4 linked regions of the Stegostoma tigrinum genome follow. The protein of the gene in region 4 interacts with the protein of the main gene of each other region in a pairwise test. Links are inferred from orthologs where the notes say so. Each region holds a gene or a part of one and is shown on either strand. Other genes may lie near its edges. The genes, in order: vapb, bend7, trim23 and usp20.

The links.
Region 1: the proteins of usp20 (region 4) and vapb interact in binary tests that used the Homo sapiens proteins (3 or more experiments, as listed by UniProt). The two-hybrid records come from large-scale screens. The link is inferred for Stegostoma tigrinum from reciprocal best matches to the Homo sapiens genes USP20 and VAPB.
Region 2: the proteins of usp20 (region 4) and bend7 interact in binary tests that used the Homo sapiens proteins (3 or more experiments, as listed by UniProt). The two-hybrid records come from large-scale screens. The link is inferred for Stegostoma tigrinum from reciprocal best matches to the Homo sapiens genes USP20 and BEND7.
Region 3: the proteins of usp20 (region 4) and trim23 interact in binary tests that used the Homo sapiens proteins (3 or more experiments, as listed by UniProt). The link is inferred for Stegostoma tigrinum from reciprocal best matches to the Homo sapiens genes USP20 and TRIM23.

What each region holds. Positions count from the first base shown.
Region 1 is NC_081372.1:60,746,963-60,755,255, reverse strand, and holds the start of vapb (vesicle-associated membrane protein-associated protein B/C), read left to right. Parts: upstream 1-4,985; 5' UTR 4,986-5,044; coding exon 5,045-5,102; intron 5,103-8,293. UniProt on the Homo sapiens protein: Endoplasmic reticulum (ER)-anchored protein that mediates the formation of contact sites between the ER and endosomes via interaction with FFAT motif-containing proteins such as STARD3 or WDR44.
Region 2 is NC_081378.1:4,517,085-4,525,007, reverse strand, and holds the start of bend7 (BEN domain-containing protein 7), read right to left. Parts: upstream 3,171-7,923; 5' UTR 2,958-3,170; coding exon 2,897-2,957; intron 1-2,896. Other genes in the region: prpf18 (pre-mRNA-splicing factor 18), read left to right, coding at 4,479-4,544.
Region 3 is NC_081354.1:117,893,450-117,900,938, forward strand, and holds the start of trim23 (E3 ubiquitin-protein ligase TRIM23), read left to right. Parts: upstream 1-4,241; 5' UTR 4,242-4,483; coding exon 4,484-4,594; intron 4,595-7,489.
Region 4 is NC_081382.1:39,295,145-39,302,684, reverse strand, and holds the start of usp20 (ubiquitin carboxyl-terminal hydrolase 20), read left to right. Parts: upstream 1-4,386; 5' UTR 4,387-4,517; intron 4,518-7,540. Other genes in the region: c29h9orf78 (splicing factor C9orf78 homolog), read right to left, coding at 69-148.

The sequences.
Region 1 (8,293 bases), on a different chromosome or scaffold from region 4:
TAAATGCCCTTAAACTTGGAAAGTCTACTACTGTTGCAGGCAGGTCATTCCATGCCCTTACTACTCTCTGAGTAAAGAGCCTACCTCTGACATCTGTCCGATATCTATCACTCCTCAATTTAAAGCTATGTCCCCTCATGCTAGCCATCTCCATTTGAGGAAAAAGGCTCTCCCTATCTACCCTATCTAACCCTCTGATTATTTTATATGTTTCAATTAAGTCACCTCTTAACCTTCTTCTCTCGAATGAAAACAGCCTTTCCTCATAATACCTTCCCTCCATACCAGACAACATCCTGGTAAACCTCCTCTGTACACTTTCTAAAACTTCCACATCCTTCTATAATGCAGCGACCAGAACTGTACGCAATACTCCAAGTGCGGCCACACCAGAGTTTTGTACAGCTGTAACATGACCTCATGGCTCCGAAACGCAATCCCTCTACCAATAAAACCTAACACACTGTACACCTTCTTAACAACCCTATCAACCTGGGTGGCAACTTTCACAGATCTACGTACATGGACACCGAGATCTCTCTGCTCATCCACACTACCAAGAATCTTACCATTAGCCCAGTACTCTGTATTCCTGTTACTCCTTCCAAAGTGAATCACCGCACACTTTTCCACATTAAACTCCATTTGCCATCTTTCAGCCCATCTCTGCAGCTTATCTATATCCCTCTGTAACCTGTAACATCCTTCCGCACAATCCACAACTCCTCCAACTTTAGTGTCATCCGTAAATTTACTTACTTCTACGCCCTCATCCAGGTCATTTATAAAAATGACATACAGCAGTGGCCCCAAAACAGATCCTTGCTGTATACGACTAGTAACTGAACTCCAGGATGAACATTTCCCTTCAACCACCACCCTCTGCCTTCTTCCAGCAAGCCAATTTCTGATCCAAACTGCTAAATCACCCTCAATCTCATGACCACGTATTTTATGCAATAGCCTACCGTGGGGAACCTTATCAAATGCTTAACTGAAATCCATATACACCACATCAACCACTTCACCCTCATCCACCTGTTTGGTCACCTTCTCAAAGAACTCAATAAGGTTTGTGAGGCATGACCTACACTTCACAAAACTGTGTTAACTATACCTAATCAAATTACTCCTTTCTAGATGATTATAAATCCTATCTCTTATAATCCTTTCCAACACTTTATCCACAACTGAAGTAAGCCTCACTGGCCTGTAATTACCAGGATTGTCCCTCCTCCCCTTCTTGAACAAGGGAACAACATTTGCTATCCTCCAGTCTTCTGGCACTATTCTTGAACATAATGGCGACATAAAGATCAAAGCCAAAGGCTCTGCAATCTCCTTCCTAGTTTCCCAGAGAATCCTAGGATACATCCCATCCAGCCCAGGGGACTTACTTTTTTCACACCTTCCAGAATTACTAACACCTCCTCCTTGTGAACCTCTATCCCGTCTAGTCTAATAGGCTGTATCTCAGTAATATCCTCGACTACATTGTCTTTTTCATGTGTGAGTACTGTCGAAAAGTATTTATTTAGCGCCTCTCCTGTCTCTTCAGACTCCATGCACAACTTCCCACTACTGTCCTTGACTGAACCTAATCTTACTCTAGTTATTCTTTTATTCCTGACATACCTATAGAAAGCTTTAGAGTTTTCCTTGTCCTACCTGCAGAAGACTTCTCATGTCCCCTTCTGGCTCTCCTTAGCTCTCTTTTTCGGTCCTCCTTGGCTAACTTGTAATTCTCAAGCACCCTAACTGAGCCTTCACGCCTCATCTTTACATTAACCTCCCTCTTCCTCTTGATAAGAGATTCAACTTCTTTAGTAAACCATGGTTCCCTCGCTCAACCACTTCCTCCGTGCCTGACAGGTACATACTTATCAAGGACACGCAGTAGCTGTTCTTTGAACAAGCTCCACATTTCAATTGTGCCCAGCCCCTGCAGTTTCCTTCTCCATCCTATGCATCCTAAATCTTGCCGCATCTCATCGTAATTGCCTTTCCCCCAGCTATAACTCTTGCCCTGTGGTATATACCTATCCCTTTCCATCGCTAAAGTAAACATAATCAAATTGTGGTCACTATCACCGAAGTGCACACCTCCCCCAAATTTAACATTTGGCCTGGTTCATTACACAAAACCAAATCCAATGTTGCCTCACCTCTTGCTGGCCTATCTACATACTGTGTCGGGAAACCCTCCTGCACACATTGGACAAAAACTGACCCATCTAATGTACTCGAACTATAGGATTTCCAGGCAATATTTGGAAAGTTAAAGTCCCCCATAACAACTACCCTGCACCTTTGCTCCTATCCAGAATCGTCTTGGCAATTCTTTCCTCTACATCTCTGGAACTTCTCAGAGGCTGATAGAAAACTCCCAACAGGGTGACCTCTCCTTTCCTGTTTCTAACCTCAGCCCATACTACCTCAGTAGAAGAGTTCTCATCAAACATCCTTTCTGCCACTGTAATGCTGCCCTTGACTAACAATGCCACACCAGCCCACTTTTACCACCTTCCCTGATCTTACTGAAACATCTAAACCCTGGAACATGCAACAACCATTCCTGTCCCTGCTCTATCCATGTCTCTGAAATGGCTACAACATCGAAGTCCCAGGTACCAACCCATGCTGCAAGTTCAACCACCTTATTCCGGACGCTCCTGACATTGAAGTAGACATACTTCGAACCACCTTCCTGCCTGCCGGTACACTCCTGTGACCTTGAAACCTTATTTACGACTTCACTACTCTGAACCTCCAGTACACTGGAGCTACAAATCAGGTTCTCATCTCCCTGCTGAATTAGTTTAAACCCTCCTGAAGAGCATTAGCAAATTTCACCCCCAGGATATTGGTACCCCTCTGGTTCAGTTGTAGACCATCCCTTTTGTTGAGGTCCCACCTACCCCAGAATGACCCCCAATTATCCAGGTATCTGAATCCCTCCCTCTTGCATCATCTCTGCAGCCACATGTTCAACTGTTCTCGCTCCCTATTCCTTGCCTCGCTAGCATGTGGCACGGGTAACAAACCAGAGATAACAACTCTGTTTGTTCGAGCTCTAAGCTTCCACACTCACTCATTGAATTTCTGCCTCACATCCCTATGCTTTTCCTATCTATGTCATTGGGGCCTGTGTGGACTACAACTTGGGGCTGCTCCCCCTCCCCCTTGAGGATCCTGAAAACACGATCCGAGACGTCACAGACCCTGACACCTGGGAGGCAACACACCGACCATGAGGTCCCACAGAATCTCCTATCTGTCCCCCTAACTATGGAGTCCCCAATGACTAATGCTCTCCTCCTCTCCCCCCTTCCCTTCCGAGCAACAGCGGCAGACTCTGTGCCAGAGACCTGTACCCCATGGCTTACCCCTGGTAAGTCATCCTCCCAAACAGTATCCAAAATGGTATAGTTGATATTGAGGGGAATGGCCACAGGGGATCCCTGCACTGTCTGCCTGTTCCCTTTTTGTCCCCTGTCTGTAGCCCATCTACATTTTTCCTGTACCTGAGGTGTGACTACCTCTCTGTAACTCCTCTCAATTACCTCCTCAGCCTCCCAAATGTGTTCCCCAAGGGATTTGAGTATTTTTCCCACTTATTTCTCTTTTCAGAGAAGGTCAGAAGCCATACGACACCAAATTATAGCCCAACTAGTTTATCTGAAATCAGAAGCTTTTGAAGCACAGATGAAGTGAAGAGAAGCACCGAGGCACAGAATTTATTGGCAGAGAGATCAAGAGATCTGACAAATGCCAGGCTGAATAACAAGTCTCTGGAACAAAAACAAAGTTGCTGGAAAAGCTCAGCAAGTCTGGCAATGCCAGTGAAGGAAAAAACAGAGTTAACGTTTCAGGCCCAGAGACCCTTCCTCAGAACCAGGCCTGAAACTTTTCCAGTGGTTTTGTTTTTGTTACTGATGTACAGCACCTGCAGTTCTTTCGGTTTTTAACAAGTCTCTGGAGGTGATCAAAAGTGTCAGATGGTGTGAGTGTCAACAGCTGAATAGCAAGTGAAGGGATGACCTATAATCTGATTAATTGAGGCAGAGAAATAATTACAAAAAATTAAAAGTAAGATGGTGAGTTTGGAGATTTAGGGTCCCCCAATGGGGTATGAGAGTTCACTGTTTGGATTCCTGGGTTTTGGTCTACTTCCAAGGGGTTTGAGGATTTGAATTTTACCCCCATGGGATTTGAGTGTTTTTCTCTTTAGCAAGTTTTGAGAACATTTGTAGCTCAGGTTGAGTTTCTGGATGTGAGTTTGCTCGCTGAGCTGGAAGGTTAGTTTTCAGACGTTTCGTCACCATTCTAGGTAACATCATCAGTGAGCCTCCGGTGAAGCGCTGGTGTTATGTCCTGCTTTCTATTTATCTGTTTAGGTTTCCTCGGGTTGGTGATGTCATTTTTCCTCTTTCTTTTGGCAGGTTTAGGGGCAGCGGGATGCTTAAAGATTCCCCATAGGGTTTTGAGAGTTCAACTTGTTTATTTTGGGGAGAGGTTAGGGTCTCCATAGGGTCACACGATGAGGGTTGAGGATTCACCCCTTGTGGTTGAGGGATTCCCACGGGGTTTTAGGATTCAGCCCATTTGTAGATGTTTGGGTTGGAAGGTTCATCTACAGGTTTTTGGAGTTTGAGGGTACCCGGGGGGGTTCAAGACTTCACCCTATGGGGTTTTCAGGTTTTGGGGTATTCCATATAGTTTGAGGGATCACCCAGAAGTTTTGTGGTTTTTAGGGTATTCCAGGTAGCTTGAGGATTCATCTGAGAGTTTTTGTGTTTTTAGCGCATTTCTAGGAGGTTGAGGATTCACCTGGGAGTTTTGGGGGTTCTTCGAGTATTGCAGGGAGTTTGAGGGTTCACCTCGGCGTTTTTGAGGGTTTTTACGGTATGCCTGGGAGTTTTGGGCTGAGGGTTGAACCATTTACTGGGATCCTGTTGCTGCAGTTCAGTCTCCGGCCACAGGGGTCAGTGCTGGGCAGGTGCTGACGTCAGCCTCTCCCTCCCTCCTTCTCTCTGTGTCGGCCATGGCGCGCCCGGAGCAGCTACTCGTCTTGGAGCCGCCCAACGAGCTCAAATTCCGAGGTAAGAGGCTGGTGCTGGGCTTGTTCAGTGTCATTTCTAAGGGCAGGCCACCCGTGTGCGGACTCCCTTCAAATTAGAGCCGCACCGGAACAGTTCAGGCGGCCGCTGACGCCGGCGATGGGAGGAGGGATCGGCCCGTCAGTGGGAACGGCGGGCAGGGGGGAGGCCGGGAACAGCAGGCAGTGCCCACGGTAACAGCTCCTGAGAATGTGGCATTGGCCTCTGGGCGACCGACACCCCAACCCTTGACACCACCCCACAATCCCCCTGTAACCCGCCCACCTCCCCACACCCCCGTAACTCATATCCCCAACATATCCCTTCCCCCCACCCCCCCCGTCCCCTCCTCTCCCCCCCCCCCCCCGTCCCCTCCTCTCCCCCCCCCGTCCCCTCCTCTCCCCCCCCCGTCCCCTCCTCTCCCCCCCCGTCCCCTCCTCTCCCCCCCCCGTCCCCTCCTCTCCCCCCCCGTCCCCTCCTCTCCCCCCCCCGTCCCCTCCTCTCCCCCCCCCGTCCCCTCCTCTCCCCACCCCCCCCGTCCCCTCCTCTCCCCACCCCCCCCCGTCCCCTCCTCTCCCCACCCCCCCCCGTCCCCTCCTCTCCCCACCCCCCCCCGTCCCCTCCTCTCCCCACCCCCCCCCGTCCCCTCCTCTCCCCACCCCCCCCCGTCCCCTCCTCTCCCCACCCCCCCCGTCCCCTCCTCTCCCCACCCCCCCCGTCCCCTCCTCTCCCCACCCCCCCCGTCCCCTCCTCTCCTCTCCCCCCCCCGTCCCCTCCTCTCCTCTCCCCCCCCCGTCCCCTCCTCTCCCCCCCCCGTCCCCTCCTCTCCCCCCCCCGTCCCCTCCTCTCCCCCCCCGTCCCCTCCTCTCCCCCCCCCGTCCCCTCCTCTTCCCACCCCCCCCCGTCCCCTCCTCATCCCACCCCCCCCCGTCCCCTCCTCTTCCCACCCCCCCCCCCGTCCCCTCCTCTTCCCACCCCCCCCCCCGTCCCCTCCTCTTCCCACCCCCCCCCGTCCCCTCCTCTTCCCACCCCCCCCGTCCCCTCCTCTTCCCACCCCCCCCCGTCCCCTCCTCTTCCCACCCCCCCCCCGTCCCCTCCTCTTCCCACCCCCCCCCCGTCCCCTCCTCTTCCCACCCCCCCCCCGTCCCCTCCTCTTCCCACCCCCCCCCCGTCCCCTCCTCTTCCCACCCCCCCCCCGTCCCCTCCTCTTCCCACCCCCCCGTCCCCTCCTCTCCTCTCCCCCCCCCGTCCCCTCCTCTCCTCTCCCCCCCCCGTCCCCTCCTCTCCCCCCCCGTCCCCTCCTCTCCCCCCCCCCCGTCCCCTCCTCTTCCCACCCCCCCGTCCCCTCCTCTCCTCTCCCCCCCCCGTCCCCTCCTCTCCTCTCCCCCCCCCGTCCCCTCCTCTCCCCCCCCGTCCCCTCCTCTCCCCCCCCCGTCCCCTCCTCTTCCCACCCCCCCCCCGTCCCCTCCTCTTCCCACCCCCCCCCCGTCCCCTCCTCTTCCCACCCCCCCCCCGTCCCCTCCTCTTCCCACCCCCCCGTCCCCTCCTCTCCTCTCCCCCCCCCGTCCCCTCCTCTCCTCTCCCCCCCCCGTCCCCTCCTCTCCCCCCCCGTCCCCTCCTCTCCCCCCCCCCCGTCCCCTCCTCTTCCCACCCCCCCCCGTCCCCTCCTCTTCCCACCCCCCCCCCGTCCCCTCCTCTTCCCACCCCCCCCCCGTCCCCTCCTCTTCCCACCCCCCCCCCGTCCCCTCCTCTTCCCACCCCCCCCCGTCCCCTCCTCTTCCCACCCCCCCCCGTCCCCTCCTCTTCCCACCCCCCCCCGTCCCCTCCTCTTCCCACCCCCCCCCGTCCCCTCCTCTTCCCACCCCCCCCCCCGTCCCCTCCTCTTCCCACCCCCCCCCCCCGTCCCCTCCTCTTCCCACCCCCCCCCCGTCCCCTCCTCTTCCCACCCCCCCCCGTCCCCTCCTCTTCCCACCCCCCCCCCGTCCCCTCCTCTTCCCACCCCCCCCCCGTCCCCTCCTCTTCCCACCCCCCCCGTCCCCTCCTCTTCCCACCCCCCCCGTCCCCTCCTCTTCCCACCCCCCCCCGTCCCCTCCTCTTCCCACCCCCCCCCGTCCCCTCCTCTTCCCACCCCCCCCCCCGTCCCCTCCTCTTCCCACCCCCCCCCCGTCCCCTCCTCTTCCCACCCCCCCCGTCCCCTCCTCTTCCCCCCCCCCCGTCCCCTCCTCTTCTCCCCCCCCCCTCCTCTTCTCCCCCCCCCTCCTCTCCCCCCCCCATCCCCTCCTCTCCCCCCCCCCTCCCCTCCTCTCCCCCCCCCCTCCCCTCCTCTCCCCCCCCTCCCCTCCTCTCCCCCCCCCCGTCCCCTCCTCTCCCCCCCCGTCCCCTCCTCTCCCCCCCCCGTCCCCTCCTCTCCCCCCCCCGTCCCCTCCTCTCCCCCCCCCCGTCCCCTCCTCTCCCCCCCCCCGTCCCCTCCTCTCCCCCCCCCCGTCCCCTCCTCTCTCCCCCCCCCCGTCCCCTCCTCTCTCCCCCCCCCCCGTCCCCTCCTCTCTCCCCCCCCCCCGTCCCCTCCTCTCCCCCCCCCCGTCCCCTCCTCTCCCCCCCCCGTCCCCTCCTCTCCCCCCCCCGTCCCCTCCTCTCCCCCCCCCCGTCCCCTCCTCTCTCCCCCCCCCCGTCCCCTCCTCTCTCCCCCCCCCGTCCCCTCCTCTCCCCCCCCCGTCCCCTCCTCTCCCCCCCCCGTCCCCTCCTCTCCCCCCCCCGTCCCCTCCTCTCCCCCCCCGTCCCCTCCTCTCCCCCCCCCGTCCCCTCCTCTCCCCCCCCCGTCCCCTCCTCTCCCCCCCCCGTCCCCCCCCGACGCTCCTCCCCCCCCGACGCTCGTCCCCCCCTCCCCCCCCGACGCTCGTCCCCCCCTCCCCCCCCGACGCTCGTCCCCCCCTCCCCCCCGACGCTCGTCCCCCCCTCCCCCCCGACGCTCGTCCCCCCCTCCCCCCCGACGCTCGTCCCCCCCGACGCTCGTCCCCCCTCCCCCCCGACGCTCGTCCCCCCCTCCCCCCCGACGCTCGTCCCCCCCTCCCCCCCGACGCTCGTCCCCCCCTCCCCCCCGACGCTCGTCCCCCCCTCCCCCCCGACGCTCGTCCCCCCCCCGACGCTCGTCCCCCCCCCGACGCTCGTTCCCCCCCCCCCGACGCTCGTTCCCCCCC
Region 2 (7,923 bases), on a different chromosome or scaffold from region 4:
AGTTACAGACAAATTAGAGCCGGGGATCGTGTACAGTTGGAGCTTTGGCTGCCAACAAGCAGCTGTTTGGTCTGTGGATTTATGACTAATTATCAATGACAGAGCATTCCAGCCTGCCTCCATGCTTAGTTCCCAGGTAGCTGAACAGCATGAAAGCGTGAATAGTTGGGTCAGAAGCCATCGCACTTATGGGCAGGAAAGAGCTGTTTTTGTTATGCAGTAAAACCATCTCAGGCTGTTTATTTCCCCTTAACCATTGCTGTAAGCTGCAACCTTTAATTAATAAGTCAGCAATATTTATAAGTTGAACCACTCACCCTGTGACTCCTGCAACCAAGCGGAAGTACCTGGAGAAAGAAGATTAAAAAGCACCTTTCTGATCAGTAAAAGGATCAGCACAGCAAACCCTGCTGAGAGACCTCTGAACCAGGTTTCCGCCATCTACAATCCGAACCCACCACCCAAGACATTTTTCCATCCCCACCCTTGTCTGCTTTCCGGAGAGACCACTCTCTCCGTGACTCCCTTGTTCGCTCCACACTGCCCTCCAACCCCACCACACCCGGCACCTTCCCCTGCAACCGCAGGAAATGCTACACTTGTCCCCACACCTCCTCCCTCACCCCTATCCCAGGCCCCAAGATGACTGTCCATATTAAGCAGAGGTTCACCTGCACATCTGACAATGTGGTAAACTGTATCCACTGTGCCCGGTGTGGCTTCCTCTACATTGGGGAAACCAAGCGGAGGCTTGGGGACAGCTTTCAGAACACCTCCGCTCAGTTCACAACAAACAACTGCACCTCCCAGTCGCAAACCATTTCCACTCCCCCTCCCATTCTTTAGATGACATGTCCATCATGAGCCTCCTGCAGTGCCACAATGATGCCACCCGAAGGTTGCAGGAACAGCAACTCATATTCCGCTTGGGAACCCTGCAGCCCAATGGTATCAATGTGCACTTCACCAGCTTCAAAATCTTCCCTTCCCCCACCGCATCCCTAAACCAGTCCAGTTCGTCCCCTCCCCCCACTGCACCACACAACCAGCCCAGCTCTTCCCCTCCACCCACTGCATCCCAAAACCAGTCCAACCTGTCTCTGCCTCCCTAACCTGTTCTTCCTCTCACGCATCCCTTCCTCCCACCCCAAGGCACACCTCCAGCTCCTACCTACTAACCTCATCCTCACCTCCTTGACCTGTCCGTCTTCCCTGGACTGACCTATCCCCTCCCTACCTATCTTCTTTTCTCTCCATCTTCGATCCGCCTCCCCCTGTCTCCCTATTTATTCCAGAACCCTCACCCCATCCCCCTCTCTGATGAAGCGTCTAGGCCCAAAACGTCAGCTTTTGTGCTCCTGAGATGCTGCTGGGCCTGCTGTGTTCATCCAGCCTCACATTTTATTATCTTGAGCCAGGATGTTGCCAGGTTTGGAGGGATTGAGCTATAGGGAGAGACTGAATGGGCTGGGGCTATTGTCCCTGGAGCATCGGATACTGAGGGATGACCTTATAACCATATGTATAATCATGAGGGGCATTGGTAGGGTGAATAGCCAAGCTCTTTTCCCCAGAGTAGGGGAATCCAGAACTAAAGAGAATTGGTTTAAGGGGAGACAGGAAAGATTTAAAAGGGACCTAAGGGGCAACCTTTTCCACATAGAGGGTGGTCCCTGTCTAGAAATGAGCTGCCAGAGGAAGTGGAGGAGGCTGGTACAATTGTAAATTATTTAAAAGGCAACTGGATGGGTACATGGATAGAAAGGGTTTCAGAGGGATTTGGGCCAAATGCTGGCAAATGGGACTAGATTATTTAGGGTATCTGGTTGGTACGGCCAAGTGGACCAAAAGTTCTGTTTCCATGCTGTACACCTCTATGACTATGAACCACCTGCCAGTCTTTCCTTCCATCCATAACACCATTTTTTGTCTCTGTTTGTTTGTCTCTGTACATGTGACGAGGGGAGTTTACAAATGCATTTGAATTTTAACTGGTAGAGTGATCTGTTGATGGTTCATAATTGTTTCTGTAGTTCAAATCTACTTACATTAATAAACAGTAATTATATTTACTTGTAATAAACAAATAGTTCTTGTCAAGTACAGAATCTGGTTTGTGCGTTCCGTCAACCTGTGTTTAAAAGCCAGGTTAAAAGTTCAGAAATGGACACTTTGGTCTCACTCATCCAATCCTGACAAGGGTTCATAAACTGACCTAGTCCCATCTGCCTACAGTTGGCCCATATCCCTCTAAACCTTTCCTATTCACATACCTGCCCAAATACCTTGAGTTCACCTTTACCACTGATTTGTGGTGTTTTCCAGATGTAATTTTAATCAGGAAGAATTCACATTTTGATTGACTCAGGGATTGTAATAAATCCTCAATCAGAGCCTCTCTGTCTGGTGGCTGCTCAAGCTGCGATATTAAGCTCATTCCTCGGGAAATTGAGTTTGCTTCACACCCACAGTAGAAATTGAGTGAGGTACAGTGAAGATTAGCACAGGCAAAGGCGCAAACTGCTGAAAACGATCACAAAACCAGATCCCAGTTACTATTAGAAAAAGGAAGCTCCTAACTTCTGCAATAAATCTAATTTCAAATTTAGATGTCCCCTTCCTCAATCTGTGATAACTAGTTGGTGACTTATGCTGGTTAGTATTCCCCTGGTTAAAGATTTATCTCGCTATGTTCCCAGGTTGGCGGGTTTTTTTTTGGTTAATGTTTTTCTGGTTAAGGATTTTACTGCTTGATGTTTCGGTAGTTAATGGCTTTGCTGGTTATTGTTCCCCAGGTTGATGGTGCGGCTGGGTTATGTTTCCCTGGTTAATGGGCTTGTTGGTTACTGTTTCCTTGGTAAATGGTTTAATGTTGGTCCAGGCCGCGCTCTCTCACCTTCATTCGCTCTCCTAAAGCTCCGCGTTTTCCTGCTCCTTTTCCACTCGGTGACTTCCATCGATCCCGCCGCAACTCCCACACTCGTCCGGGGACCGGCTCACCCCACCGTCTGCCCGAGCCGCCGCTTCACTTTCCCGGAGACCAGGCGCCGGCAATCAGCGGGAGAGGGAGCCGCGACCGACCGCCGACCGCCCTCAGGAGGAAAAGGACTCCACCCGGGGGGGACCCTTCATCCGGGAGACACTTCACACTCCGCCAGGGGGACACTGCACACTCCGCCAGGGGGACACTTTACACTCCGCCAGGGAGACACTTTACACTCCGCCAGGGAGACACTGCACACTCCGCCAGGGGGACCCTCCGCCAGGGAGACACTTCACACTCCGCCAGGGGGACGCTCCGCCAGGGAGACACTTCACACTCCGCCAGGGGGACGCTCCACCGGGGAGACACTTCACACTCCGCCAGGGGGACGCTCCACCGGGGAGAGACTACATCCTCCACGAGGGGGACACTCCGCCGGGGAGAGACTACATCCTCCACGAGGGGGACACTCCGCCGGGGAGAGACTACATCCTCCACGAGGGGGACACTCCGCCGGGGAGAGACTACATCCTCCACGAGGGGGACACTCCGCCGGGGAGAGACTACATCCTCCACGAGGGGGACACTCCGCCGGGGAGAGACTACATCCTCCACGAGGGGGACACTCCGCCGGGGAGAGACTACATCCTCCACGAGGGGGACACTCCGCCGGGGAGAGACTACATCCTCCACGAGGGGGACACTCCGCCGGGGAGAGACTACATCCTCCACGAGGGGGACACTCCGCCGGGGAGAGACTACATCCTCCACGAGGGGGACACTCCATGCTCCCTAATGGGCGCGCTCCTCGTGTAACAGGGGAGGACATTCCACCAAGGGGGAGACTCCTTTCTGCATGAGGGAAACACTACATCCTCCACCCCTGAAGTCAGTACTGTCTGAGGAATTGTGCGGCAAATCTCCATATCTGATGGTTCCCATTGCATGCTTTTAAAAACAGTAGATAAGGATATTGCAGATGGATTATTCATAAATTGCTCCTAAACTCTCGACAGTTTGGAATTGTGTCTTCTAAAAGTTTAAAACGAGGGAAGGAGAAACTGGAAAACCAGTTTATCCTCAGTTGATAGCAAACTTTGGGAATGGATTCTCAGAGAGTTGCATCCATTGAAAACGGATTGCTGTGGTTCAAGGAAGCAGCTTCTCAAAGGCAATAAAATATAAACAGGAGCTGCTCTGGACAGAGAAATGGAGTTACCAATTCTTATGATTTGTTAAAACGTGGAGTAATATAAAATTATTTATGAAATATTTACTTTTAGTATAGGGTCTATAGTTATTTAAATGTGCGAATCCTTTTGAAGTTATTTGGCGGTGTTCCGCGGCTTGGATTACTTCGGGGGGGGGGAAGGTGAGGGCGGATTTGGTCTAATCGACGGCTAGGCCGCGCCGTCGCTGTGGTGCGGCGGCGGGTTTCCGGCGCCTCGCCCTCTGACCCGGACGTGACGACGTTGTTGTGGCGGCGGCCGCGCGGATGGAGCAGCTGAAGGCGGAGATCGAGAGGAAACGACGGCTCCTGGAGGAAAGCCGGGCCCCGGGGGTGAGGGAGAACAGCCGGCCCCGGGGGGTGGGGGAGGAGAACAGCCGGCCCCGGGGGGTGGGGAAGGGGAGGAGGAGGAGGAGAACAGCCGGGCCCCGTGGGGGTGGGGAGGAGAACAGCCGGCCCCGTGGGGGTGGGGAGGGGGAGGAGAACAGCCGGCCCCGGGGGGGTGGGGAGGGGGAGGAGAACAGCCGGCCCCGGGGGGGTGGGGAGGGGGAGGAGAACAGCCGGCCCCGTGGGGGTGGGGAGGGGGAGGAGAACAGCCGGCCCTGGGGAGGGGGAGGAGAACAGCCGGCCCCGGGGGGAGGAGAACAGCCGGCCCCGGGGGGAGGGGGAGGAGAACAGCCGGGCCCCGGGGGGTGAGGGAGAACAGCCGGCCCCTGGGGGTGGGGGCGGGGAGGAGACAACCGGCCCCGGGGGGGTGAGGGAGAGGTGGGGGTATAGCTGGCCCCCAGGGGGGTGGGGGTGAGAGAGGAGGGAGGAGGACACCTGGCCCCAGTGGGGAGGGGGAGAGGGAGAGGACACCTGGCCCCGGAGGTGAGGGTAAGGGGGTGGGAGAGCCATTCCCTGTGGGAGGGGTGAGAGGATGGCGGGGGACGTTGCCAGCCCTCAGGAGGCATGGAGGGGGACGTTGAGGGGAAGGGGTGGGGTGTGAGGAGAAGTAGGGGCAAGGCTGGAAAGCAGGCCCCTGGGGGGGTGTGAGGTGAAGAGCAGGCCCCCGGGGTTGGGGGGAGGTAGAGAGAGAGCCGGCCCCGGGAGTGAGCAGACGCCAGAAGTGGGAGAGCTGGTCCCCAGGGGTGAGGGAGAGAGCGCTAAGTTTGATGGTCAGGGTGTAGTTGCGCTGATTTTGGGGGTCAGCGGGGGAGGCATGTGCGATGCTGGCATGTGTGGTTCGTTGGGGTGGAGAATTGAGTTCTGCCCTAATTTCAAATCACAGTCTTGAATATGAGACAACAAAGTGTGGAGCTGGATGAACACAGCAGGCCAAGCAGTATCTCAGGAGCACAAAAGCTGACGTTTCGGGCCTAGATCCTCCTCCAGAGAGGGGGATGGGGAGAGGCTTCTGGAATAAATAGGGAGAGAGGGGGAGGCGGACTGAAAATGGAGAGAAAAGAAGATAGGTGGAGAGGAGAGTATAGTTGGGGAGGGGATAGGTCAAGGAGGCGGGATGAGGTTGGTAGTTGGGAAAAGGAGGTGCAACTTGAGGTGGGAGGAGGGGATAGGTGAGAGGAAGAACAGGTTAGGGAGGAGGGTACGAACTGGGCTGGTTTTGGGTTGCAGTGGGGGAGGGGAGATTTTGAAGCTAGTGAAATCCACATTGATATCATTGGGCCGCAGGGTTCCCAAGCGGAATATGAGTTGCTGTTCCTGCAACCTTCGGGTGGCATCACTGTGGCACTGCAGGAGGCCCATGATGGACATGTCGTCTGAGGAATGGGAGGGGGGGGTTAAAATGGTTTGCGACTGGGAGGTTTTCAGATTAGATTCCCTACAGTGTCGAAACAAGCCCTTTGGCCCGACAAGTCCACACCACCCCTTGGAACATCCCACCCAGACCCATCCCCAAATAACCCACACACCCCTGAACACTATGGGCAATTTAGCACAGCCAATCCACCTGACCTGCACATCTTTGGACTGTGGGAGGAGACCCATGCAGACACGGAAAGAACGTGCAAACTCCACACAGACAGTCCCCTAAGGCTGGAATTGAACCCGGGTCCCTGGCACTGTGAGGCTACAGTGCTAACCACTCAGCCACCGTGCCACCCGGTACAGTTGCTTATTGCAAACCGAGCGGAGGTGTTCTGCAAAGTGGTCCCCAAGCCTCCACTTGGTTTCCCCAATGTAGAGGAAGCCACACCGGGCAAAGTGGATACAGTATACCACTTTGGCAGACGTGCAGGTGAACATCTGCTTAATGTGGAAAGTCATCTTGGCTTGGGATGGGGGTGAGGGAGGAGGTGTGGGGGCAAGTGTAGCACTTCCTGCGGTTGTAGGGAAAGGTGCCTGGTGTGGTGGGGTTGGAGGGGAGTGTGGAGCGGACAAGGGAGTCACGGAGAGAGTGGTCTCTCTGGAAAGCAGAGAAGGGTGGGGATGGAAAAATTTCTTGGGTGGTGGGGTCGGACTGCAGGTGGCGGAAGTGTCGGAGGATGATGCGTTGTGGGGACAAGGGGGATTACATATTAAGCAATAAAACGTGAGGCTGGATGAACACAGCAGGCCAAGCAGCATCTCAGGAGCACAAAAGCTGACGTTTCGGGCCTAGACCCTTCATCAGAGTGGGGGATGGGGGGAGGGAACTGGAATAAACAGGGAGAGAGGGGGAGGCGGACCGAAGATGGAGAGTAAAGAAGATAGGTGGAGAGGGTGTAGGTGGGGAGGTAGGGAGGGGATAGGTCAGTCCAGGGAAGACGGACAGGTCAAGGAGGTGGGATGAGGTTAGTAGGTAGCTGGGGGTGCGGCTTGGGGTGGGAGGAAGGGATGGGTGAGAGGAAGAACCGGTTAGGGAGGCAGAGACAGGTTGGACTGGTTTTGGGATGCAGTGGGTGGGGGGGAAGAGCTGGGCTGGTTGTGTGGTGCAGTGGGGGGAGGGGATGAACTGGGCTGGTTTAGGGATGCAGTAGGGGAAGGGGAGATTTTGAAACTGGTGAAGTCCACATTGATACCATATGGCTGCAGGGTTCCCAGGCGGAATATGAGTTGCTGTTCCTGCAACCTTCGGGTGGCATCATTGTGGCAGTGCAGGAGGCCCATGATGGACATGTCATAAAGAGAATGGGAGGGGGAGTGGAAATGGTTTGCGACTGGGAGGTGCAGTTGTTTGTTGCGAACTGAGCGGAGGTGTTCTGCAAAGCGGTCCCCAAGCCTCCGCTTGGTTTCCCCAATGTAGAGGAAGCCGCACCGGGTACAGTGGATGCAGTATACCACATTGGCAGATGTGCAGGTGAACCTCTGCTTAATGTGGAATGTCATCTTGGGGCCTGGGATGGGGGTGAGGGAGGAGGTGTGGGGACAAGTGTAGCATTTCCTGCGGTTGCAGGGGAAGGTGCCGGGTGTGGTGGGGTTGGAGGGCAGTGTGGAGCGAACAAGGGAGTCACGGAGAGAGTGGTCTCTCCGGAAAGCAGACAGGGGAGGGGATGGAAAAATGTCTTGGGTGGTGGGGTCGGATTGTAAATGGCAGAAGTGTCGGAGGATAATGCGTTGTATCCGGAGGTTGGTAGGGTGGTGTGTGAGAACGAGGGGGATCCTCTTGGGGCGGTTGTGGCGGGGGCGGGGTCTGAGGGATTTGTTGCGGGAAATGCGGGAGACGCGGTCAAGGGCGTTCTCAATCACCGTGGGGGGAAACTGGCGGAAATGGCGGAAGTGTCGGAGGATG
Region 3 (7,489 bases), on a different chromosome or scaffold from region 4:
AGGGGAATGGGAACCAGACCAGTAGGGCAGTAAATGCAGAAATTGAGACAGAGGTAGTAACCAGGGCAAACATGATAAGGAACAGGCAGAGAAATGCTGTTGAAAAGAGCAGGGAAGGTAGTGTGTGAAATGTATGTGTTTCAATGCAGGAAATACAATTGGCAAAGTGGATGAACTCAGATGATTGGTTAGTACTTGAGACTATGACACTATTGCCATCATGCAGACTTGGCTGAAAGAGGGACAGGACTCAGCCGAATGTCCCAGGATTTGGATGTTGCAGGTGAGATAGAAAGGAATGTAAAGGGGTTGGGAGAGTTGCATTATTGGTGAAGGAGTATCTCATACAGCTATACTGAGGGAGGATACATCAGAGGATTCATGCAGCAAGGCAGAATGGACAGAAATTGGGAATAGCAAAGATGAAATCACAATGCTGGGGGTATAATACAGGCCTCCCAACAGCCAGTGGGAGATAGAGGAGAGATTATGTAGGCAGAGTTTAGAAAGATGTGAAGGTGGTACTGAAGCTGGCAGTGCAGATAGATAAGTTAGTAAAAAAGGCTTCTGGCATGCTTGCCTTCATTGGAAGGGATACTGAATGTAATGGTAGACAACTTATGCTGCAGCTTTATAGAATTTTAGTTAGGCCACACTTGGAATATTGCATACAGTCTGGTCACCACACTACCAGAAGGATGTGGATGCTTTGGAGAGGGTACTGAAAAGGTTTATCAGGATGATGCCTGGTATGGGAGATTTTAGCTATGAAGAAAGGTTGGATAGACTGGGTTTGTTTTCACTGAAATACAGGATGTTGAGGGGCGACCTGATGGAAGTTTATAAGATTATGAATGGCATGGATAGAGTGGGAAGTATGAGGCTTTTTCTCAGCGTGGAGGGATCAATTAGTAGGGGACACAGGTTCAAGGTGCAAAGTGGGTGTGGGGAGATGGAGTTTAAAGGAGATGTGCAAGGCACATTTTTCACACAAAGGGTGGCGAGTGCCTGGAATGCACTACCAGAGAAAGTGGTGTAAGCAGACAACACGTAAACATTCAAGAAGCACTTGGACAAATACATGAAAAGAAAGGTAGTAGAGGGATACAGAGGAAACAGTTTTAATATGGAAAGGCAAATTGTATCGGCGCAGGTTTGGGGGGGCCAAAGGGCCTGTTTTTGTGCTATATTGGACTTTGTTCTTAATAATTATTGTGTTCTGTAACATAATTTGTTTGTTTTTCTTTTGCTTAATACAGGTTTATGTTTTTCTATTGAAAGTATATATTCAATCTCTGGGGGTATGTTCAGTGATTGAACTACAAGATAAACAATGAGAAATAAAACTCATAGTCCATCAAGTCAGGTTTCACTTTGTGATTTGCCTCAAATTACACCTCAATCACAATACTACAAAATTTGTAACAGAAGTCAACCAATCTTCAGTAACAGTATACCTAACAGGTTTGCAGGTATAAAGTTTTGAGGAATTCCTTGGTAAAATGACATTAAGTTGTATCAGTCAATCTCACTTATCTGCACTATATAAGAGATAATCCACTATTATTTGTTCAGATTAGATCAAAACAGATACATAATATACAAGGAACAAATCTATTTAACTAGTTATCACAATCAAATATACCCAACAGATACTTACATCAGCACTCTGTGATATCTAAGTTTGTTACATGATTAAAACTAAAGACCACAGTTCCTACGGAAGTACAAAAATAGAAATCCTGCATGTGTCTATAAATAATGCTTATCTGTTTTCATTATTTTGAGTAAGATCATTGAAAGGATATAGGAAAACAAACCCAATTCACCCACAAAGGCTATTTTTAAAGTGAGTACTTATCTGCACGATTGGGTTTTCAAACATTGACTGTTCCAAAAATAAATGTGATGGACAGTAGAAGCAAATAAAGTTCTATTAAAAATTGGCTATTCTGTAGGCAGCTTAATTTAACCTTTTGAGCTGTTTGGCTAGGCATGCTATATCAGCCTGGCTAACTCTGTGCATTTTGTAGACATCATGCACTGCCAAGCTCCTCTCTGCAACCCTATCACTATGTATGACAATAATAAATTAGCTGGTAAATTATTCCATATGTTAGTTATCATTTGAGTAAAGAAATGTTCGGCATTTGCTGCAGATTTAACAGAACACTTAGCCAGGAGAAGCAGTGTAACAGGATAGAAATAGCAAAAGAAAGTCATTTGGACAAAATATATATGTGAGATGATCAATCACAGATCAGATATAGTGCTGACAACTGCAAACTTCTGTTTGCAAGACGAATTATGTTAAAAAGTGGAAAGGGGCTGTCTGATGAGGAGAGATCTAGTGGGTTGGGCCTATACTCATTCTACTTATTGAAATAGACTAGAGTCTTTGATTTGATTTATTGTAGTCCCATGTCCCTAAGGGCAGTGAAAAGTTTTGTTTTGTGAACAGTACAGGCAGATCATAGCAAGCAAGCATTATAGGGCACCTAGACAGAGCAAGGCATTCAAGGTTATGGCTGCACAGGAGATGCACAAAGCGAGATCAACATTATTTGCATCAGACCTGTAAGCAGATCTCAGAGAACATTTAATAATTTTTACAGACTTAGAATTTCAGTGTAAAAGCACTAAACACTTATAAGAACTGTGAGAATAAGATCTGTTGCAGAGAGCTTGCAAAAGGTAGCCCGGTGTTAGTGCCATCTTGAAACTTGGAGGTTAGGGGACTTGACAGGTTAGATGTGGAAAGGTTGGTTCTCCTTATAGGACAGTCGAGGACTATAGGGCATAATCTCCGAACAAAGGGTTGCCTCTTTTAAGATAGAAATGAGGAGGAATTTCTTCTCTCCAATGGGTAGTGAATTTGTGGAATTCTTTACTGTAGAAAGCTGTCAAGGCTAGGTAATTAAGTTCATTCAAGGATGAGATAGAGAGATTTTTAATCAAGGCCTAGGAGTTAAAGGCAGGGAAGTGGAGTTGAGGATTATCAGATCAGCCACGATTTCATTGAATAGTGGAATAGATTCAACGGGCTGAATGATCCACTTCTGCTTTTACATCTTATGATCTTAAGAATGCCACAACCCAAACTGACTGAAAATTAAGCATGTACAATCTGTGTATACAGCAAGCAAATAAATGTTAGAATGTTGAACTACATAGCGACTAGCTAATACATCAGGAGAAATAGTGATAAAACTGCTCTTTCTGGTCAATATGAGCAATGCAAAAACGAAGTAATGGGGATGCCAAAAATATGATGATTGATAAACTTTTTTTAAAAAATTGTCATTGAGAAATGATTGTCACTGCAGGCCAGCATTTGTTGTGTCTCTCTTTAATTTGCTTTAGAAGGTGGTGAGGAGCTGTATTCCTGAACCACCGCAGCCTATCTAGTGTAGGTACACCACAGTTTCTGCATGTATTCAAATAGTCTTGTTTTGCTCACCAACACATAACTGAAGTGCAGAAAGTATGCAGTGGTGAAGTTGATCTCTGCTGCCGGGTGTCTGAAATATGTGAAAAAGGTTATTGGTGTGGAAAGAGGCTAGATCTGGGCTTTGCAAAATTAAGATAAATATTACTTCAAACTGTGGAAGTATGATTGGAAATAAGCCGTACTCCAGTGAAACGCTTTGGAATGTTTAATTGCATTAAATATCATTTCTAAAATTAGCTTTTACAATTAATTGTGTTCACTTAGAATGTTTAATTACATTAAATGTTAAGTAACCACAATTAATTATTATAAAAACCGATTTTAGAGATGACAATTATTTCTTCTGTATACAGAATACATGGGTGCAGACTCGTGGAGAAGAGTGGGTACGTTAAGATAGCAATTAGCTGGTATGAAAGAGGTTTCTTTCTGGAAGATTAACTATATGTGAACGAAATGAAGACGTGTCTGTCCTCAAGCCTAATTATTCTGTTGAACTCATTTGTGTTGATGAGCCGTCTGATCAACTCCCATTACTTCGTTCTTCTTTCACTAGGTTAAACTCTCGTCTTTCCCGGTTGACATACAATCTCCTTTACAGGTGGTTTCCGTGTTCTTCCCACTTCTGGTATCAACCTGGTAAAATACATTTTCTTTTGAAGAATAACGAACGCTACCCAGATATCGAACCGAAAAGCCTTTCCTACTGTCAAAGCATTGCTCCGTTGCCAACGTCTTGTCCCAAATATGGCCTTCCACTTGTCTCAATGTGAGCATGCGCAGTATATCGCACGGCACCATCCGGACAACACCATAATGGACAAGAAGAAGGACATTTGATTTAGACAAAAATTAGACCAACGCATAAGTTTCAGAAGAATTGATTAGCTACACATAAATTTGATGTTTATTAATCGCTTCGTAATATAACGCTTTTTTGTGATTTCACCTGGGATTATTACGATTTTACCGATTTAAGATATTAATGATCCCCCCCCCTTTTTCGCGGTTTGGGAGCTGGTGTGATCCACAATGGCGGCGGCTCCGTTGAAGTTGTTGCTGACACCGCTGGGGCCAGGACTTGGGCCTGGGCCTGACAGTGGCTCTCGCAGTCTGCGTGCCGTCAACGGCTGCTCGGTCAAGGTGAGTGCGCCCCCCCAAAAACGAAGCATTCGGGCCAGTTTCAGACTGGGCTCGATCTGTGGCTAGTTTTCAGGCCTGGTCTCCCTGCCCCCTGCCCCCCCGTCCTCTACATGGCTTCTGCGTACTCAAAAACACTGGACAAATCCAAATCAACCCAGTCAAACATCACTCACTCAGTTTATTGTAGATTGTTAGCAAAGCAATAGAATAGCGTTGTGTGCAGCACTTGTCAGTGGGGACCAGAAGACTCTCCACTCGTAGGAGTCACCCCGAGAATAAAGGAAGGTAGTTGGAGTTGTTAAGAAGCCAATCATCTCAGTTCAAGAACATCACTAAGCAAGATAGGTGCAGGAAAGGTATTCTTGATGACGAGAACTCCAGAACCAGGGGTCTGGAGTTCTTTATGGATAAGAGGCAAACCTTTAAGGGCTGAGATGAGGAATTTCTTCACCCCAGAGAGTGGCGAGCCTGTGGAATTCACTACCACAGAAAGTGGTTGAAGCTAAAACATTTTATTTTCAAGAAGGAGGTAAATATGCTGTTGTGGCTAACGGGATCAATGGTTAGGGATTAGAATTTTGAGTTCAATGGCCTTACTGAATGGTCTACTCCTGCTCCAATGTTTTATTCCTCGGGCTGGATATTTTCTAAGCAACCTGTTCAGAGATAGGACCACTACCACTTTACCACAGGAGCCAAGTTCCTGAGGGTAAATATTTTCAACCAACCTTTCAGACACACTGGTGGCGGGATTTGAACCCAGGCTTTATGACCTAGAGGTAGAGACAGTACTACAGTGCATCAAGAACCATTCCAGTTCCTTGGGATAATGTGATAAATTGACTCATCTTCAGCTGCTTTATCAATGATCTTGGCTCAATCATGAGGTCAGAGGTGGGAATATTCTCTGATTATTGCCTGTGTAGGCTTGGCTCGATAAATAATACGTAATGTTTGGTGTGAGACAAATGCAAGGTAAGGACCATTTCCAACAAAAAAAATTAACCATTGCCTCTTGATATGTAATGTCATTGCTGATGTCAGAGGCTTGGCATTTTGCAGTGAGTAATTTGCCTGTTGTCTCCTCAGTTTTTCCAAGTAACAAGTCAATGGCATAATCTGTTTGGGCACCAGCTGTTCACAACATTATATATATGACTTGGCTGAGAGAACCAAATGTAACATTTTTGAGTTTACTGATAAAACAAACTGATAACTGATGAACTGAAATAAGGGCAGATTGAGCATTGTCACTGGGGAGGGAACAGGTGGTAAAGGATGCATTCAAAAACCATCTCTAGGTAAAGTAGATTGTGAAGCATCTGTTTTAATCTTGGACGAGCAAAAAGGATGGGGTTGATGGCAAGGAAAGGAGTTTGTGTAGGGACTAAAGATGATGGCTGCACTCTTCTCAATATTTCAACTGCTGCTCATCTGACATGTTGAACATACCCACAGAGGGGACCAAGAGACGTGGAGCAGGCAGTATCAGCATAAACGTGAAGTTTCCATTTGATGTTGTCAAGAAAGAGTTTGTAGATGTGAAACAGATGAGGGCAATGATGGAGCTTTGGGCATCCCAAATAATGGAATGGAATAGAAAACATTGTAGTTGATTCTCTGGCTTTGCATGGATACGCAAGAATGGAACCATGCTGGTTTTGCTCCATCAAAGTGAAAGAGGATAATGATGTCAATTATACCAAAGGGTGTGAAAGGTCATGATGGATAAAGAGGAAAGTTTATCTTTTTGTAGTTGCACAGGCATTTTGGTCATCCTGTGACATCACCACTGTGTTGATGTTTTGCCTTGTGCACGTGATAATGCATTATCTCACATGAGAAAATTGGAATTTGACATGCCAAATTCATAAATTTATGTACTGTTTTCCAAGCGCTGACATTCCAATAAGTATTCTCCTGAAAAATACTTTCGTTCTATGGTATCTTAAAAAGAGAGACTTAAAAATATTTATTCTTAAACCCAACATTTGTTGATGATTTATCCAGTTTTGTGCACAACAAAACTAAGTTTCAGCTAATGTTATTGATGGAATCATCTATCGTAGACTAGACATGTATTATCTCATAAATATACAAAAGTCAGTTTTTTTAAAATGTTTTAGACAAGCTATATTAATGAAAGGTCTAATATTTAAATTTTAAAAAATTTCCATTTGTAATTTTCATTCTGAAGCTACAACGTAATTCAGCAAAAGCTGTATGTAGTTGAGGATTGCTGGTTTATTTTATACGTTTATAATATATAATTTGCAGCATGTCTTCATTGATTATTTTTAGTGTTTCTATAATAAGTGAAATAGAGAACTACTTTGGAAATAAAAAAAATTACAGAGAAATTGTAACAAAATTGGTGACTAAGACAGTAATATTTTGACGGCAGTTTAAAGATAGCCACTTTACTTGGAATGTTAAAAACTGAGTGGCTTTGGGACTATCCAGTGTCAGGAAAGGCTAGTTGGAATAAAAGTAGTAGTATTAAAATTTCCCCCTGCCTAACCCAGAAGTACTGATGTCAGTCAATTTCTTTTCACTCCAGATCACACTTTCACTTACCAGGTTGAGGTGAAGTGAAAATGTCATTGAGTTTGGTTGTGATGTTGTTATGTTATATAGCAGCGAAATGGACCCTTCGGTCCAACCATCCGTGCTGAACATAATCCCAAATTAAACTAGTCCCAGCTGCCTGCTCCTGGGCGATAACACTCCAAACCTTTCATATTCGTGTAGTTATGTAAGTATCTTTTAAATTTTATAACTGCACTGACGTCCACCACTTCTGCAGGAAACTCATTCCACACATGAATCACCCGTCTGTGCAGAAAAAAAACTGCCCCATGTCTGATGTGAATCTCTCTGTTCTAACCTTAAAAT
Region 4 (7,540 bases):
CCGGCTGGGCTATTCTTTGGGGCTGAGGGCAAGAGGCCTAGCTGGACCACTGAAGCCTCGGCTCTCACCTGACCTCCACCACCCTCTGCTCATCCTCCTCATCCGACTCTTCCTCTCTCCTCCTGCGGTAGCTCTTCCCCGCCGGCATTCCGGGGCCCAGTGCAACCTTCTTTTAGCTCAAACACAGTTTCTTTTCAAAACCCCGTTACTCACTAAACCACACCGACTTTCGCGGCAGACTGACAACGGAGGTCGGACCGAGGAACTTCCGGTTCAACGGACAGGTTCCGGCGACTCCCGGACTCCATTTCCCACAGTGCAGCGGGCACGGCATCATGTGACCCAGTCCCGCAATGTTGCCATTCTCACAGTCTGTGCAGTACAGATACTCACGCCCCGCAGGGATACTCACGCCTTCTTCAATAACTCACCCGAAGAAGCAAAACACTGGATTCTCGAGAAAGTCAGCAGTTTCTGTGGAAAGAAAGAGGATGTTGATGTTTCAGGACCGTTGCGAAGGCGGCTCACAGGATCCAAAGTTTACTCCAGGTCTACACCTACTTATCTCCGCGGGCCTGTTGAGTTTCTTCAGCAATTTCTGTTTTTGTCAAATGCAATATCCTTGCTCTTATTTCTTTTTACAAAAAAAAAATGTGGAGCTGGAGGAACACAGCAGGTCAGGCAGCATCAGAGGAGCGAGAAAGTTGATGTATTTTTCTGAAGAAGGGTCCTGACCTGAAATGTCAATGTTCCTGCCTCTCTGATGTTTCCTGGCTTGCTGTGTACCTCCAGCTCAACACTGTCTAATCTCTGACTCCAGCATCGGCAGTTCTTACTATCTCCTATTTCTTGTGGTCTTTTGTCCCCAGCGTATATCTCCTTAACCTTTCATGTTGTAAAAAGATCAACCACAATCTGAACTCATCAGTTTATTGAAGTATTTGTGTAGAGAGAGAGATACTTAATTAATATTTTCTATATATAAAATAATGGGAGCAGGATTATTATGCTCGACCTCTCAAGCCTGTTCTGCCATTCAGTAGGATCGTGGTGTTCTGATTACATGCTTGCATACCACTGATAATCTCTCACCTACTTGCTTATCAAGAATTTAGCTCCCTCTGCTTTAAAGATAATCAAGGACTCTGCTTATACTGCCTTTTGAGGAAGATGGGACCATCTATGAGAACATGGGAGGAATGAGCGGTGAGGGATGTCCCCCAGTATCTGTGTCAGCGGCGGTGAGGAAACGCTGCTAGGGTCACCAGAGAACGAACTAAGTGGAGGAGATTGGGGCCCCAGCATGGCTAAGCGCTCAAGAAAGACAGTTGAAATTTTAAATATTTCTTTATTTTTCTACTTAATATTAAGAAGAACTTCAATGTTAACTATTACCTTATCTCTTTATTTTTCTCGAGGTGGTCTGTAATGTTGAACTTTTAACTTTGTTTCTCTCTATCACTTTGTACCTAGATACCAAGGTAACTTGGTGACATTTGACACTTTTCACTGTACTCCTGTACTTGAGTACATGTGACAATAAAAAAATGTAAATTTCTTTCTTTTTTTCAATGACTGACCTCTAGTTCTAGATTCTCCCACAAGAAGAAACATCTTTTCCACATCCACTCTGTCAAGATTCAACGCCCGCCCACATTCCCCCCAATGATTTGAGATCTTGGACTTTTTATTAGAATTAGGAAAAATAGTTATCCAGATCCTTATAGGTTTTCAGCGCTTTCACTTTAGCCCTCAGGATTAAATTTTCTGTCATTCAATTTCTCCCTGTTGCAACTCTATCACAGACCTTTTCTTTCATCCTCGTCCCACTGAAAAATATTGAGAAGACAGAATAAAATAAGAACATGCTGGAGAAACCCAGCAGGCCCGGCAGCATCTGTGGAAAGGAATAAACACAGTTAATGTTTTGAGTTTCTTTGGAACTGCAAGTTGTTGGAAAAGTGATGATTTTGGTAGTGTAGAAAAAGAGGGAATGGAACATAAGGGAAAGTCAGGGCATCTTGGAACAAGGGTGTACACCAGAGCCCAATAACGGAGACTGGTGCTTTAAGAGGCCAAGATAATAAAATGTGAGGCTGGATGAACACAGCAGGCCAAGCAGCATCTCAGGAGCACAAAAGCTGACGTTTCGGGCCTAGACCCTTCATCAGACTGTCTGATGAAGGGTCTAGGCCCGAAACGTCAGCTTTTGTGCTCCTGAGATGCTGCTTGGCCTGCTGTGTTCATCCAGCCTCACATTCTATTATCTTGGAATTCTCCAGCATTTGCAGTTCCCATTATCTCTTTAAGAGGCCAACCGTGCTTGGGTCAGGAGGTGGGACTTTTTGTGATCAGGTTGGGAGCCACGTTCCCAGGAGCAGCACCAGGTTTTGTGATTCCTGTCTCTTGGCCCTGGATCGGAGCAACGTACCACAGAACAAAGGACAAAGTGAGGAGTCGGGTTGTGAAGAAGAGTCACAGGTCTAAACTGGTGTTTTGGTTTGGAGCAGTGTAGATGTTAACCGTAGATATTATAGGGCTACAATTGTGGCCTATGCCACCAGTAGGTGGAGCACTAAATTTGGAGTCTTGGTTTTAACTCTCATCCAACAACATGCCTGTTTTATAAGTAAGACCTAAAGAAATTACATTTGGGAGGACAGGCTGGATAATTGTCAGCATACTGGAAATTGCAATTTTATAATGTACGGATCCTCTCCGTTTGAAGAGAACCATTGCACTTTGCTTCCATTTACCCAACTCTGATCTCCCTTAAGAGCTGTCTCTTGGTTTTACATGTACCCAATCTAAGCACTTTCCTTTCAATTTTATGGCAGAAGCCTCTTCAGCTTTTTATCAATGATTGCCTTAACATACAACAGAACAACAAAGATTAGATGTGGTTTGCAATTGTTTAAAATTTTTTTGGACATGCACATAGACTTGACACTGCTGCATGGTTTCACCAATGGTACGTCATGAGTGCAAGTGGACACGTGCAGATGGATCGCAAAGGCTGTTTTAAATGGCAGTACCCTATTTTCTGCATTTGAAAGAAATATTCAGAAGCAAAACGGGAAGTAAGACTGAGCACTAGAAACTGATATGTATTATGGCAATGTGCACTGATACCATTTGAGTTGCATTTTGTCGATTTGCCACCATAAATCCTTTTTATTGTTAAGGATCTATGTTACATATAAAAATAGAAAATAGCTGCAGGGGCAGGTCTTTTGATACCTTAGGGCTACTCTGCCAATCATTATAATCATGGCTGATCATCTAACTCAATAATCCGTTTTCACTTTTTCCCCATACCCTTCAATCCTTTCTCCCCCAAGTCCTATGTCCAATAGCTTCTTGAAATCATGTAATGTTTGGCCTGAACTGGTTTTTGTGGAATCACATTCCAAATCTTGTGGAAATTTCTGAAAATGGCTTTGCAAGCCATTTAGACAGAGCACAATTGGGAATGGGTAATAAATGCGTGTTTCAGAATGCCTGATGTGTGCCAGTGACATTCACCTGCTAAGAAAGAATAAAGGTGGAAAATAATGAAAAACGGAGAGTTCTTGAGAAAATTGGCAGGTCTAGCAGCATCTGTAGAGAGAAAGCAGAGCTAGCTCTCAAGACCTGTTACCCTTCTTCAGAGATAACCCTTCTGAAGGGTCTAGGCCCAAAACATCAGCTTTCCTGCTCCTTTGATGCTGCTTGGCCTGCTGTGCTCATCCAGCTCTACACCTTGTTACCTCAGATTCTCCAGCATCTGCAGTTCCTACTATCTCTGAAACCCTTCTTCAAAACAGACCCACCCCAAGCCGCACCTCCATCTCCTACCTACTAACCTCATCCCACCTCCTTCACCTGTCCGTCTTACCTGGACTGACCTATCCCCGCCCTACCTCCCCACCTATCTTCTTTTCTCTCCATCTTCAGTCCGCCTCTCCCTATTTATTCCAGAACCCTCACCCCATCCCCCTCTCTGATGAAGGGTCTAGGCCCGAAACGTCAGCTTTTGTGCTCCTGAGATGCTGCTGGGCCTGCTGTGTTCATCCACCCTCACATTTTATTATCTTCAAAACAGACTTTTGTTTTAATTAAAGTAAGAAGCTGATTGTTTTGCTAGCATAAACTTTTTGGGCTGAATGGCCTGGCCCATGAGTCCTGGACATTCCAGGGCGTGGCCACATAGCACATGCGCACTATCCGACCGCTCGGGGGTGTGTCCCAAATGACGCCACAGCAACCGAACGTCATCCGGGAAAGCGGGAGGCGCATCGGTACGAACTACATCTCCCAGAAGGCTCAGCGGCGGCCTATGGCGTTGGAGGTCGTCTTCCATCCGGGCCACCCGTCGGGAACTACATTCCCCAGAGTGCACGCCGTGGCCCTGGAGCTCCCCAAGATGGAGACGGTGCCGCTTATTCTCTGCTGAAGGAAAATATCTCGTGAGACGTAAGCGGGGGGAAGGGATCGGGAGAAGAAGCGGGACCCGCACCGGGACATTGTAGGCGCAGGTACGCCCCGTGTCTTCCTTGTGCGCACCCGGCTGCGGATTTTGAAACTCGGCGCAAATGTACGCAGCGGTGCTTTTGTGTCGCTTTGAGGTGTCGGCGCTGAATGGGGAGGGGGCGCGGCTGGGTTAGGCACTCAGTCTGGGGGGGTGGGGGTTACAGCATGAGAGCGGGTGGGCACAACTTTGAGTCTTGGGTAGGGGGCCCCGTTTGGGTCTTTGGGAAGGGGTAGGGGTAGGGGTGTCTTGTGGGGGCGTGTTTGTGTCTGGGGGAGATCTGCTTTGAGTCTCGGGCAGGCGTTTGTGGAGTAAGTTTCAGAATCGGGTTGAATTGCAGTTGTGAGTCTGGGTGTGAGAAGGAGGATTTGCTTCAGAGTGGGGGGGTGGTGGTAGGTGTGTCTGTGCGTGCCTCTTCATCAGCCCAATTCGCTATCACCGACTTTTTAATGTGTATTTTCATCTGAATGTTCAGGTGTTTTGTTATTAAAGCCTAAAGTATCAAAGGCAATGTACACTGACTGCTGGGAATAAGCAGCTCAAGCAGTATTTTTGGCAAGAGGGAAAAAAACGTGATGGATTTCATCAGGCATTGATGTTTGCTTTGCTCCTTCCACCAATGCGAACAGAGCTGCATAATATTTTCTAGCATTTTACTTATTTGATGTTAAAATTAAAATGCGCAGCCAGTTCCGCTATCTGTGTAGCAGATTTGATGTTGAGATGGAGAAGCTGCTGACAGACAGAACCATTGGTCCCTCGCTGAGCCCATTGGCAACCTAGGTGGGGTTTGTGCAGGTTTTAACTTTTATCTGGTTTGAAGAGAATTGTTTCATGTTTAGCATTAGTCGTGTTCCACACCAATTAATTTTCAACTACTTCATCAATGACCTTCCCTCTGTCAAGAAATGAGGATGTTTGCTGATGGGTGATGCAATGTCTTCAGACACTGAAGAAGCCAGTATCTAACATTTTGAGCCTAGATGACTGTGTATCAGAGCTGATATGAATTTTGAACTGACCCACTGTGATTTCAGCACTTCCTGTTTTCAGTACAGATTCCAGCATCTACAGTAATTTTGCTCCTATGAGCCTGTACCTATTTGTTGCAAGATTTGGACAACATCCAGGCTTGGGATAATAAGTGACATTTGTTGCTGTTTAAGTCCCAGATGACGACCAATTTCAAGCAGATTGCATCTATGCATCACTCCTTGATGTTCAACGGCATTATCATCACCGAATCCCTCTATCAGTATCCTGAGGCTGACATTGACTAAAACTAAATTGGATCAGCCATCTAGATACTGTGACTGTAAGAGCAGAATAAAAGCTGGGAAATTTGTAATGACTAACTCCCCAGTGCCTGACCACCATCTGAAAGTCTCAAGCCAAGATTGTAATGAAGTAATTTCCACTTGTCTCAGTGAAAGCAGTCTCAATGACGTTCAAGGCATTTAACACCACTAATGATGTTGAAGTTGACTTGTTTGATACCCCATTGGCTACTGATACATTGGCAGCAGTAGCTACCATCGTAAGATGCACTGCAGCAATTCACCATCTCCTCTGGCACCTTTCAGGCCAGTGACCACTTTCACAACACTGGAGTGTGCTTGCATCATATGGACTGCATTGATTTAAGACCACCTTGTCAAGACAAATTTGGAGTTGAGCTATAGACGCTAGTTTCACCAGTGATACTCTTATCCTATGAATTAATTAAAAAGAAAGTCATAATGGCTACACAGTGGGAACAACTGAATTTGCTTGTAATTCCGCAAAGATTAAGTAATTGGGATTTGCTGAGTGTCAAGATTAACACATCAATAAATGTTGTCTGAACTGTGAGTCGAACAAGGAATTGTAATCCAAATAAGAATTGGGGCGTGTGATTGAGTGGAGAAAGGAAAGCACCTTTCTAATCATTATCGTATAATACAACACTCATTATCAGAGATGCTGTATTCTGAAGCAAGATATAATGCAATATTTTTTTGATAAGCGAAATTAAAAACTGAAATAACTGTGGATGCTGGAAATCAGAAATAAAAACAAGTTGCTGGAAAAGCTCAGCAGGTCTGACAGCATTTGCAGAGAAATCGGAGTTAATTTATTGGGTCCAGTGACCCTTCTTCAGAACCTTCTAAGATAAGCAGTCTGTTTCACCTCATTCTAATTTTTGTTATTTAGGAATCTTGCTGTGTAATGTTGTACTTTGCAGTTGTCTTTCAAGTGGAAATATTTTCAATTTACTTGCAATTTAAATGGCAATATCATCGAAATTTACAGACTTTTGTTTGGAAAGACATCACAATATAGAGTTGGTGTCACACTTGCTACATGGATTCTGGGAAATTAGAGATTCCAGCAGAGGACTAACAGGACATTTTTTTTTGAGTTAAGGATGTTGCCAGGATTGGAGAGCTTGAGTTAGAAGCTGGGATTTTTTTTTTTCGCTGAACCACAGCAGGTTGAGAGATGACCTGGTAGAGGCTTTTAAAATCATGAGACATTGATAAGGCGAATGGGAAAGGCCCTTTTCCCTAGGGTAGGGGAATTCAAAACTAGAGGGTATAACCTTAAGGTGAGAGGACAAAGATTTAAAAGGGACCCATGGACAAGTTGGACCAAAAGGTCAGTTTCTGTGCTGTTTGACTCTATCAGGATGTATTTTGTATTCCAAACCTTTTGTCTGACTATTCTAATTTTTTAATATATTATTATGTTGAATAAGCTTGCTGATGTTAAAGGCAAAATGTGCTGGAGAACTTGAGCTGGTCTGGCAGAATCTGGAGAGAGAAACAGAATTAATGCTTCAGTTCCACTATGACTCTTCTTTGGAGCAATTGGATACAAAATGTTAACTGTCAACAAATGTTGCCAGACCTGTTGAGTATCTCTGGCACATTGTTTTTATATCATATCTCCAGCATCCGTAGTATTTTGCTTTTAAATTAGAGACAGATTAATTTACATCTGCGCCTAATGGCAATAATGGGGCAGTCTGTTTGATCTTAATAGCTGTAA